Linked DNA regions of Neodiprion lecontei. The protein of the gene in region 1 purifies or fractionates together with the protein of each later gene. This does not show direct contact. Links are inferred from orthologs where the notes say so. Each region holds a gene or a part of one and is shown in the gene's direction. Other genes may lie near its edges. The genes, in order: brefeldin A-inhibited guanine nucleotide-exchange protein 3 and prohibitin-2.

Region 1 (4,949 bases):
GAGTGCCCAACTCATTGCATGGCCTGCTGTGTAGTAAGGTTGTGGATTACAATGCAACACTGTAACATTAACACATTATAGTTATAAAATATGTGTGTATTGTAAAGAAATTTTTTTTAAAAAAGCAGAAAAAGTATCAATTCTCAAAAGATACGTACACAGCTCGAATGTAAATGGAAGAATAAAGCAGAGAAAGTATCATTCACGTATAATTATTAGAATGATGGGACAGAGCAGCCTTAAAGTGAAATTTGAAAACTCAGTAATGTATGCTGTATTTTGCAGATCATTGGTGTTTTATATTCAGGCACTGCATTACTCCTATTTCATAGATAAGGTATCAAGTAAAACCACTACATTTGTTTAAACATACTGGGTTGTACTCAACAACCAAAATTATTTCAAGCAACTCTATTCGCAATTGATTAAATAAAGAAATACCATGATGTGATACTTCTGAAATAATACTTATCATTTACAAAGTAAATCATTTTTTAGGATGCATGGTCATTTTTTGGATATGTGTATATTTCACAAATCATTAGCTGGATGTTAGTTTGAATTAACACTAGTGTACTATAAATTTTCAATTACTTGCCATTATATAAAGAGCCACCCTCAGCATACTCCATAACTAAACAAACTGGATTTTTTGTACATGCACCATAGAGTTTAACAATATTAGGATGTGCTACTCTGGATAGCTGGCGCACTTCGACGGTGAATGCCTTCCTCTCTCCCTCAGAGTTTATGTGTTTCACCGCCACATACTGACCTCTCCATCGTCCTTTCCAGACAACTCCAAAGGAGCCTTTCCCAACAATCTGTTATCAGAAACAATTACTTTTTTACTTTACTGTATTAGTTAAAGGAAGTTGGATCGCTGACATAAAATGTCTAAACAAATCATGAGGCGCGTATCAAAGCTGATTAGATGAATTTGATTACACAGCAATGGCTGATATCTCTTTGTAAATAAATGTTTTAATTTTAACTAACGTTAGCTGATCTATAAAGCTTGTTCGTTGATATTGTATAAATCAATTCACTCTCTTTTACAAACGCGAGTTCTATGCACGTCAATAATAATGTTTACTGATGAATAACGGTGAGCAACAGCCCGAAAGTGGATGGACATATTAACAGTCAGGACTCAGTTGATTGATCGAGATAAATAATTGAGTGAAAAAAATATTCATGTATGTTTATAGAGACCAAAATGTTTTGGAGACGAAGATGTTGTGAGGTTATGTTTTCGCAATAGATTTTTATACGAGGTTCATTGATACGATATGGAATTTTACGAGTGCTATTTATTTAAGGGTAAGTTATTTGCTACAAAATGACAATTTGGTGAGGGTAAACATAATGAAAATGTGCGATTTTCTTACACAGATATCACAAGATTACCTCCTGTGTTTCAATTTCATTGTAGTTAATTTCTTCAACAAACTGTTGCTGATGGCCAGTTCCTTCCTTGCTCGCCATCACATACCGTCCGCATCACATTATTTTCAGGCCGCATTTACCCAGCTAACGCAAATTTTTCACAAATATTTATTTGAACTGGCATTCAAATTGTTTCGCCATTTGCCATTTTTCGTCTTTCTACCGACGTGTTTGCGTTGTTTTGAGACGAAGTGGGCGTTCTGTAATACAATTGGTCAAAGATATCAAACCTGCAATGGCGATCGCAGCGGCGCTGCTGAGTGGACGAGCGTGCAGCGGAAAATTTGAGAAATATCAAAAGCAGAACACTCGCGATAGTTGTCGAATATAATCAATTATTAGACAAGATTTTAAGTAAATAATATAATTCTCATATCGAAATGACTACGCCGCGTTGTTCCGAGTTTATTCTGGACTCGTAGGACATTTTTATCTCGTCTCCGGGTTCTGTACTCGCTTTATCGATTTGTTGCATGGTTCTGTCATGGAGGACCTCCTGCTGCAGATCGTCAAGGAGGCTTCGCACGCGAAATTACCAAACATACGTAAATCGGCGCAAGAGGCACATGGTGAGCTAAACATTGAACATCTTATCTTATCCATTTTTTGATTCTTCACTCACTTATTTTCTCCCACAGATTTCCTGGACAAGCAGCAAGGTCTATTGCGGGATCCCCCGCACGAACTGCGGGCGAAATGCCTCCACACCTGTCAGCTCGCTCTCGAAACAAGGAGAAGCAAATTTGTCGCCTTTGGTCTTGCTGGCCTACATGTAATGCATTCTAATGATCCCGATATTCACAGCTGTTCGCTTTATTTCGCCAGCTTTCCTTATCGCTCGTACATTGCCTCACTCTCACTGTGTAACACCCTCGTATTTGCAATAACCACATCCTGGGTGGTACAATTACTGATAGTGCTTTCACCATATGATACTCACTATGCTACACAGCTAGCACTCATTCACATTTCTGACGCTGACTGATTTTTTCTACTAATTACTGTTTCGACGATAACTGTATAAAAATATTTAAATTATATTTCGAAGTGAAACTATACTTTAACTGAAAAAAATTGTTCCAAGAATATAATTAATGTTAAAATTAGATCATTGTGCCACAAATTTTTGTTTTCAGAATTCATGATTTTTTGTAAAATACTTTGAGCAGCTTGACTAGATTTAGAAACTCATTCAGAGCTGTGTTATTTAGCAAGTTACCAATCGATATTCAGACAGTAGTTTTTGCTTACCAATTGATTGTTTTTACATGTCTCCTTGCAATTTCAGACCTGTTATGCAGTGAAAGTTGATCAATAAGAAATAGGAAACTATTTTTTTTGATTTCAGTCTCTTTCTCCTGTTATGACAGCGTTTTGAATATATTCTGCAAATTTGAAGCTCATGCCAAATGATTTTTATTGCAATGGGAGAAGCTCTAAGTTTTTTGGTCACGGTTTCGACACTGATTACACAATATATAACATATTTTTACTGACATATCAAGCACTCTGCTTATGTTTCACTTATTTGCTCATGTCGTTTTTTTAATCGACTAATATATAGTGTTAAATTTGACATTAAATGTTTCTAAGATAATTTATACTTATTCGCTTCAATGAGTTATTTTTTCAGGATTATTCGAACAAACATTTTGTTTCTAATTGAAATTGAATAGAATAATTTCTTATAGATATAAGTGGTTATATGCAATTAATGTTCATTTATGTCTTATGGCAGAAAATGCTGAGGGACGATAGATTTCAGTCTCCTTATGAGCCGGAGGATGATTCCTTGTGGCTTCCAGCTCAAATGCTCCATACTATGAGTTCCATATTATCCCAGTCAGACGATGCACAGACAGACATGCTAAAAGTAAGTTAGTTGTAAAATTGAAAACAGAAATGAAGAGCAAATACAGTCTAGGCTGTTTTTACCTGTGATTCATTTTAAACCAATCAAATCATTAATATTATTATTGATGTTATTCGTAAAATTTTTCCTAGGTGCTACTGCAAGTTGCATGTTCTTCATATTGGACAATGAATGGTCGTCTCATTATTGCTGTACTAACAACTTGTAGCGAGGCCTTTGAAAATGGAAACCAAGCAGTTAGAACTGCGGCACAGGCAGCTACCAGCCAAACTCTTCGATCCTTCTGCTTATTTCTAGGCAATATGAACAGATATTTAATTGCTTAGGATGTAGTTTAGTATACACCACAAATTTTGACTACTAAATATTTTTATTACAGATGAAGAATGTCAAGAAATGGACGAGAATGCCAAGAAGAATAAGAATATTCATGAAAGAGGGGTATCTTGTTTTAATGAGGCGATACCTATACTACAATATATCTGTAGCAAATTAGATGAAGCTCAAACGTAAGTATTGCTGAAAAAAATCAAACGAAACATTTACAGTTGAACTTCTGTAGAAAAAAAAAAATTCATTTTAATATTCTTCGAACAATGTCACCGCAGTATTAAAATGTGCACTTATTACTGCAAAGTTAAGTTTAATCTAATATTTTTCAATCATTATTCCAGAAACGGCCGTAATGGAACAACAGTTGTGTTTCTTCTAGAATGCTTGCACACATTGATATCATCTCTTCCGCAGAAAATCCATACTAATGCACACTTCACGACATTCTTGTGGCAAAAGTTTTGCCCCGCGCTCATAGCTTTTCTGGGTACTCCAAGAGTTGACAAAACATTTATATCCAGGGAAGGAAAAGATACGGAAGTTGGTAGAGGGTCAGGCTACTTAGCAACAGCTTTGAGTTTTGACAGCCATCAGGCTAAAACTGTTTATAGGTATGATATTACAGTGGCAAGCAAACTTGGCTCAAAGTGTGTCGAAAAAAGTAATTCCGCACTGATTAGATACACTTTATGGCGTTTTATATAACATATTTGGAATATACCTATGAAAATTTAGTGTAATAATTTAATTTACAAATTTCAGTATCGGAACAGAATTGGTCCGTTTGGTTGGTTGTGTTGGGTCGCTTCGCCCGGTACTGGAATCAGTATTTCACAGAATGTTACTATACCCACCACCACAACACAGAATAGAACCTTTAAAAGCACTTCGGGAGTTGTTGCGTAGTCCGAGTAGAATGGTAGATTTTGCAGGACCTTTGCTGGTTGAAGATGAAAAAGGAAGTCAACAAAGCGACATGGCATTAATGCGACTGTAGGTTTTCAACTTTTAACCGACGATCTTCAATTCAGCCAAAGATTAGTTACATTTATTTTATATCATTATTCATCTTCCAGAGTTATGGATTCAATAGAAGAATCCACAACAGCTGGGCCGTTGGTACTTCATGCCTCTGTTTCCTGTGTTGTTGCTATGCTATCTGCATTGCAGGAGCTTTGTGAAGGAAAAGCTATCAGTCATGATTACACTTGTACAATCAATAGTCTTTACGAAGATCTTGATAGCTGTAACTATCAAGGTCCGTTAACTTACCAGAGTATGGCTAGGCTGCCAA
Region 2 (6,809 bases), on another chromosome or scaffold:
TTGAAATTAGTCAGGCTTAAATAAAGACACAACTCGAAATAGTATTTCGTATATTGTAGTAACCTCTGTATGCAAACGATGTACATACATACTTATAATGACACAACTAAAGATAATACGCTGCAAGGACCACAATGACGCATTTTTGACCGATAAAGGTGGCATAATTACAAAAATGACATATTATATTAATAATTAATTATTGATTTATATTTCATCGAAATAAAGCGACACTTTTTGAGTTACGATACAGGGTAAAAAAATATTTGACTTACCTTATTCGTATGAAGTGTCACAATTTGAGATATCGTGTAACTATTCAAGTCTTATAACTGGTGTAAAGTTGGCTGCGAAACGTTTGAAACGACATACTTGATGCCCATCCGGTTCAAAACCGGCGCGCTACGATGACAACACTTCTGTCCTCTGGGTGGCGAGTTTTACGACTACACAAGTGTCACTTCGCGTGGTTAAAGATTCGAACCTCAGCAATAGAAATTGTATAGTATTAACATATATTTTTATTAACTCAAAAACGCCAATTTTAGAGTTGTTTGACCTTTGTGACCAAGGCGCGATATTTATATCATACGTAATATAAATTACATTAGGCATTGATAATAAAAATCCATGCTCTGCAACCCCTGAATACAATTACTCGAATGAGAATTCAGTTAACAGTGGTATATTATGAAGACGATGTTACACATACCCTATACGTTGAAGTCTGTACTTTCTCTTTTTTATTTTATTTTTTTTCGTGAAGTATTGATAATTAATATTGATTTTGGTGAAGCGTTGCTGGAAGAATTTAAAGAAACCGTAATAGCGATCCGAAAGTTTCTGTATCGGCGGGAGCATGTAAATACATGCAATACCATAAAACACACAGAACCCCATTGGGTTCACTGCCGTTACCCGTCTTTATGATCAACGGCAAATATGGCAAGATTGAACAAGCAAATTTTTGGATGACAGGAGTTTACAATCCACAAGAAGTCTGTCTCGATTTGTAGGTGATTTCATTGGTCAGATCCAACTGACCTACTGAACTGGCCAATGAAATCAGCGGTCTTAGTTCAACGTTGAAAGACCAGACCGTTGTATGTGACGTCATAAACGTCATGAAATGCATATTTACAAGCCAGGCTTACAGCATATACTGTACGTACACTTGGGGACAGATAACCCATGACCGTGGAAATTAACCGTAGAATATGCATAGTTCTTATATGTCTATGAAAATATGTGTCAATCCAACAAATCATTATCCCCGCGGTATTTACTGGATTGCGTTGCGCGTGGAAGGAAAGATGCAGAGGGCGCCGCTTGACAATGAATTCCTAGACCCACTGCGTCGTGACCACGGTCTTACATAGGTACAGGTCTTGCAAAGAAACCAATTTTCTGCGGAGCGGCGTAGTTTTCTTGTTGTCCGTGTTTCAAGTGTTTGAAATAGCCATGTCACGGCGCTGCTATCTAGGGATGTATGTGGGGTGGGGATGAAAATGTGCCACCGAAATTATATTTGAAATGAAGCATATAACCTAAAATCAGCGCGTGCGTCATACTGTGTCTTTTTGATACTTATTATTTTTTACTTAAAGTTCAATATTTAATTTCTTTACTGTTAAATATTTAGGCCATGTTCGCAAATTGACTGACAGTACTGAAAATTCCCTAGGACAGAGTCAGAGCTATTCACGAACTTGGAAGCGCAAAAGAGATAAAGGATTACTGACAGTACTGTCAGTCAATTTTCAAACACAGCGTTCGCTTTTGGATGCGTTCCAAAATTAGCTCCCATTACCATTAGCAATCTTTTATCTCGTTTGCACTTTCTAGTTAATGACTAACTCTGTTTCCGTCTTAGGGGACTCCGAGCACCGGTTAATACGTGATTTCGGAACGCACTTTTTGTTGCAGCGCGATCAGCGTCTTCACGCCCGACTCGTCCTCAATTCATCTACACGATCGAAGTCGGCAGTCTAGATTTCATCAAGAGCACGTGGTTGAAACCAAGTAGAGCCAGCGGCAGGCCTCGTTATCGGCCTTTTAACCTTTGCATCAGCTAGTTTGTTCGTTACGTGAAATCATTCCCGAATTTATCGAGCATTTATTTGAGGATCGTTATTTTGGTTTGGTTGTTGAAACTGATAATACGCCGTGAAATCTATATCGACAATGGCGCAAAGTAAGCTCAACGAACTGGCTGGCAAGTTTGGAAAAGCTCCGAATGGTTTATCGCCGGGATTGAAATTGCTCGCCGTTGCCGGCGCTGCCATGTATGGAGTCACACAGTCTATGTATACTGGTAAATAAATTCGTCTCACACCAGCTAATTTGTGTTCTAGTTATAAAATTACATGAACAATTGCGTTGTGATGGAGAAAATTTTCTGTACAAACACTGCTTGTACATACGGTTTTAATCTATAAACTCCTCGTATTAACATCGATTCATTTTACCAATAGTTGATGGTGGGCATCGGGCAATCATATTTTCACGCCTCGGAGGTATCCAAAAGGACATCATGACGGAAGGACTTCACTTTCGAATTCCGTGGTTTCAGTATCCCATTATATATGACATCAGAAGCAAACCTAGGAAAATTTCATCGCCAACTGGATCAAAGGATCTTCAAATGGTCAACATTTCCCTTAGAGTCTTATCTCGCCCTGATGCATTTAATTTACCTGTCATGTATAGGCAACTAGGTCTTGACTATGATGAAAAGGTGATTAAAACTGTTATTTCGTCTACTTTTCAGTTAAAAATATCAGTGAGTTGAAACCGAGAGGACATTTCACGAATTATTTTTTTTGTAATTAGCACTAACTTTGAACTACTTTTGTAAAAACAAAACTTACTTATAGGTACAATACTTTGCACTTGTAGGTTCTGCCAAGCATTTGTAATGAAGTACTAAAGTCTGTGGTGGCCAAGTTCAATGCATCTCAATTGATAACGCAGCGACAACAAGTATCTATGATGATTCGCAGAGAGCTAACTGAGCGTGCAAAAGATTTCAATATCGTTTTGGATGATGTGTCAATAACAGAGTTGAGTTTTGGTAAGGAATACACAGCTGCCGTTGAGGCAAAACAGGTAGCTCAACAGGAAGCGCAACGAGCAGCATTTGTCGTTGAACGAGCCAAACAGGAGAAGCAGCAGAAAATTGTCCAAGCAGAGGGAGAAGCGGAAGCTGCAAAAATGATATCCTTTAACTATTTCAACCGTAAAACTAGTGTTACATTCAAAAAGGAGAAACCTGCGGCATTTCGTTAGCCTTGTTGCTAATCGTGTGGGCTGATTAGTCATATCTGATTCTTTCGGTCTTGTATAAATTATCCTTGACTGAAATATACCTTGGTTTAGCTGTTGGACGAAACCCTGGATACTTGAAGCTAAGAAAAATTCGGGCAGCGCAGAGCATATCTCGAACGGTAATTCAATTTAGGGACCTAATAGTTGTTTGCTATTTATAACTTGATTATATGTTTCAAACCATGAATATGATTAAATTACCAGTGACAGGTATCGGACCCATATTATTATAGATTATAGCTTTCTTCACTGTCATCAAACCCTTTTTCTGTATCATTGTTTCAAAGCTCAATGTTAACAAGTGTTGATAAATTAACAATATGATTTTTTGTTTTAGATCGCAAATTCACAAAATCGTGTGTACTTGAGTGGCAACGGCCTTATGCTCAATATTCAGGATCCAACATTCGATGATCTGTCTGAGAAATTGAAAAGTAAGCAGTAATGACTAATTGAAAAGGACTTCAATCTGCACTTCTCTATTTCGTCATCTGTGCTCCGTTCTAATAATTTCCAGCGTCAACTAATTTACAATGCAAATACGAAGGACACAAAGTTGATTGTTAATCATGTAGCTAACAGATATTATAAAATACGCAAATTTGTAGATATGAGCTTTGCAGCGCTTGCTTCTTGCCCTGGCCTCCTGCCCATTATTTTCAAGTTTCCCACATTTGCCATTAACCTAATAAGACCAGGCACGCTCGCAAAATCCGAGATCATCTGATTTCAGGTAATGGAATATCGCCTGCTAGGTGGAAAAACTGGAATGAATCTGCGCAGCATGCAGTCAAATCTTTGAACATGAATTCATCTCAGCCAGCTTTGAGAAATGTTGAAAAGCCGTCGATTGTCTCAACTACTCCTTACGTCGAAGATCCTATTTCCCTTATTCTGGACTCTGCAGATGCGGGGGCTAAGCTTATCGTTCCCTAAGCGGCAATTTAATTAGAAGAATTTCGGATCTCTGTCAGAAGTTTGTTCAAAGTAATCTCACAAGCGAGCCTGCCTTGTCATATCTAATTATCCCAAATTCCTTATTGATCCTTTATAACCAGGCATCCATCCTCTACTTCACACCGGCATAATACATGGTACTAATCAAATTTTATTACAGGCTAAGGACTACCATCCGACGAACGATACATAGATTCATACCGAAGGTGGCAAGGATTGTCCTGGGTAAAACTTGTGTACATCAATACTGTCACGCCTGTATAGTGAAGATAATTCTAATAAATAACACAGTTTTAGTTTGTAAAATGTGATCAGAGCTTTTTAGTGACTGAAAATCTGCGTTTGCGGTACTGTGGTTTTATTGTAACTTTTTTGCCAGTAGAAGTTTTGATTTCCGAAATCAAGCAGGTTAGAATTCTTTTCAATCTCTTTCCTGATGTATGTTATACCGAAATAGCGTTCCAATATTTACTTATACCCTGTTGGAACTAATGATGTGTTTTTCTAACACATTGAGAGGCGTTATTCGTGCTTGATTCTGACTTTTGGAAAGAATTTTTGAAAAGACCATATTTGCCAAATTCGGGCAACACTCTGGCTAAGGTTGACCGTTTGTCTTCAAATGTCTGTACTTAAAAATTTTGTTTTGGAATCAACTTGTCGGAGAATTCTTTGAGAAATTGGCCTCTTAGGAATACGCAAACGAAATCGTAGATTCAACAATTGGATGAATTCGTAGAATATAAAAGTTTTAGTTGTTTGGATGTAACTTTTGATCCGGTGTTCACAGCGACTTTAGACTATGTGTAATCGGTTACTCTCGCAAAATTACGTTAATATGGCGTCTAAATAAATTTATTCCAGCAGTTTTGCAAAGTTCGCGAGGAATGGACTGCAAAAATACAAAAGGGTTGTCCTTTCTTTTTTACGAGCCTAAGACTTTTCGTCTGAGAATCAATTTCAATGACTCTTTCTAAACTAATCGTAAATATTAATTAATTCCGAAATGATATGAATACAGCGTCTGATTAAATGCAATTCATGATTATGATGAACGTATCATTTTCCAAAATCTGTGGAACCGACAAAATACAAACGGATTTGATTTTTAGCGAGTTGCAGACCTGAAAATCGATTTGTCTTCCAACGGTTTCGTAGAAGCGTTGCGTCAACGATTGGACCCTCAGAATTTCGAAATACGTGTACAATATTGTGAGATCAATATATGTTGAAATCCAAGGTCTTTTCCTTGCTGTCATTTGTGAATTTGTGACAGCAGAGACTGGATACGAGTCGCAGCCAAATAATTACCCCACAGATTCCGGTTATAGACCGAACTCATACACACGCATGACAAGGAAATTGATTAGTAAATGAGCCTTTGTATAACTATGGGTAATTTGCGCATATATTTTAATCTTTTAACAGCATTACACCTCAATTTCTTACAAACATCAAAATAATCTATGTTGTTAACTTAATGATCTGTCTGTTTCAATATCACTTCCACAATTACTAGGATTTGTGCATTTGCACCCAGTTCGTGAAACAAATCAACAATGAATGCAACAGTTTACTGATGCAATTGCATATGTAGAGACGATGACAATATGCTGCTAGGTGTGTGTAGGGAATGGATAACGAAAGGTTATTTATGGGGAGAAATGTTCAATTCCACTCAGGAGTCTGTAGAAAGAACAAATTATATATTCATGGTAACAATACATTAACAATACGACGATCAATTAGAGACGCAGGATTATTAAATCTGGTAATTCAACATGTTTTTCTCGTTCTCTTACGTCTACAGTTCGACTCACACACATAACTTTTCTTTACTCTCTCCTTACTCTCTTCCGCTTTTCATCTTACTACCTTTATTGTCAACTCTACTACTCTCGTGCTCTCTTGCTGTACACTCCACATGCCTTTCGCTCACATTCCTATTAGCCTCTCTCTACATTTTGCTGTAATCTGCCTCTCACCACATCTAACAATTCCATGCAAGAAAAATTCCCATAATCCGTTATGGTGGTATGAATGAAATACTTTGTTTCAATATTTATCTCTTTCAGTAACAATTGTGTATTTATCATTGAGAATTCGATTTAAATACGTAGTATAAGGAATACTCATTATTCATTTTTATCGGCAACATCGTCGGCTGCTGTAGTGATGATGCTTTCTTCATCCTGTTGTGGCTGACGCCGCCCCAAGCGACACTGAATTTTTCGGAACAATTGTGGTACAACAATATTGTTGTAGCAGGACATACCAATTAGTAAAACTGCAAAACCTATGAGCTAGAAGACAAAGAGAAGGACCATATAATTGTGGAATAAATGAATACTGCAATGGTGAGATTATTCTGAAATCGAAAGTTGCATAATCACCTGAAGATAATGAAAAGTTTGCCATTGAAATGCCAAAGAGAATGCCCATATTACCAATGTCCTTACACTGTCCAATACCATCCTTGTAGTGGCGCTCATTTCCTTTGTAACACTGACGCCAGCAAAGTTGAA

Evidence for each region.
Region 2: the proteins of brefeldin A-inhibited guanine nucleotide-exchange protein 3 (region 1) and prohibitin-2 purify together in Homo sapiens (affinity purification with western blotting; 4 studies listed by BioGRID). This does not show direct contact. The link is inferred for Neodiprion lecontei from reciprocal best matches to the Homo sapiens genes ARFGEF3 and PHB2.

What each region holds. Positions count from the first base shown.
Region 1 is NC_060260.1:31,603,122-31,608,070, reverse strand, and holds the start of brefeldin A-inhibited guanine nucleotide-exchange protein 3, read left to right. Parts: upstream 1-1,698; 5' UTR 1,699-1,933; coding exon 1,934-2,018; intron 2,019-2,087; coding exon 2,088-2,221; intron 2,222-3,187; coding exon 3,188-3,322; intron 3,323-3,453; coding exon 3,454-3,619; intron 3,620-3,701; coding exon 3,702-3,831; intron 3,832-3,996; coding exon 3,997-4,266; intron 4,267-4,417; coding exon 4,418-4,648; intron 4,649-4,731; coding exon 4,732-4,949. Other genes in the region: mitogen-activated protein kinase kinase kinase 7, read right to left, coding at 1-59, 599-824, 1,411-1,488. UniProt on the Homo sapiens protein: Participates in the regulation of systemic glucose homeostasis, where it negatively regulates insulin granule biogenesis in pancreatic islet beta cells. Also regulates glucagon granule production in pancreatic alpha cells.
Region 2 is NC_060263.1:14,560,404-14,567,212, reverse strand, and holds prohibitin-2, read left to right. Parts: upstream 1-1,958; 5' UTR 1,959-2,184; coding exon 2,185-2,314; intron 2,315-2,474; coding exon 2,475-2,737; intron 2,738-2,898; coding exon 2,899-3,216; intron 3,217-3,368; coding exon 3,369-3,446; intron 3,447-3,664; coding exon 3,665-3,761; intron 3,762-4,060; coding exon 4,061-4,263; 3' UTR 4,264-4,314; intron 4,315-4,444; coding exon of another isoform or gene 4,445-4,449; 3' UTR 4,450-6,281; downstream 6,282-6,809. Other genes in the region: solute carrier family 35 member F6, read right to left, coding at 6,420-6,587, 6,678-6,809.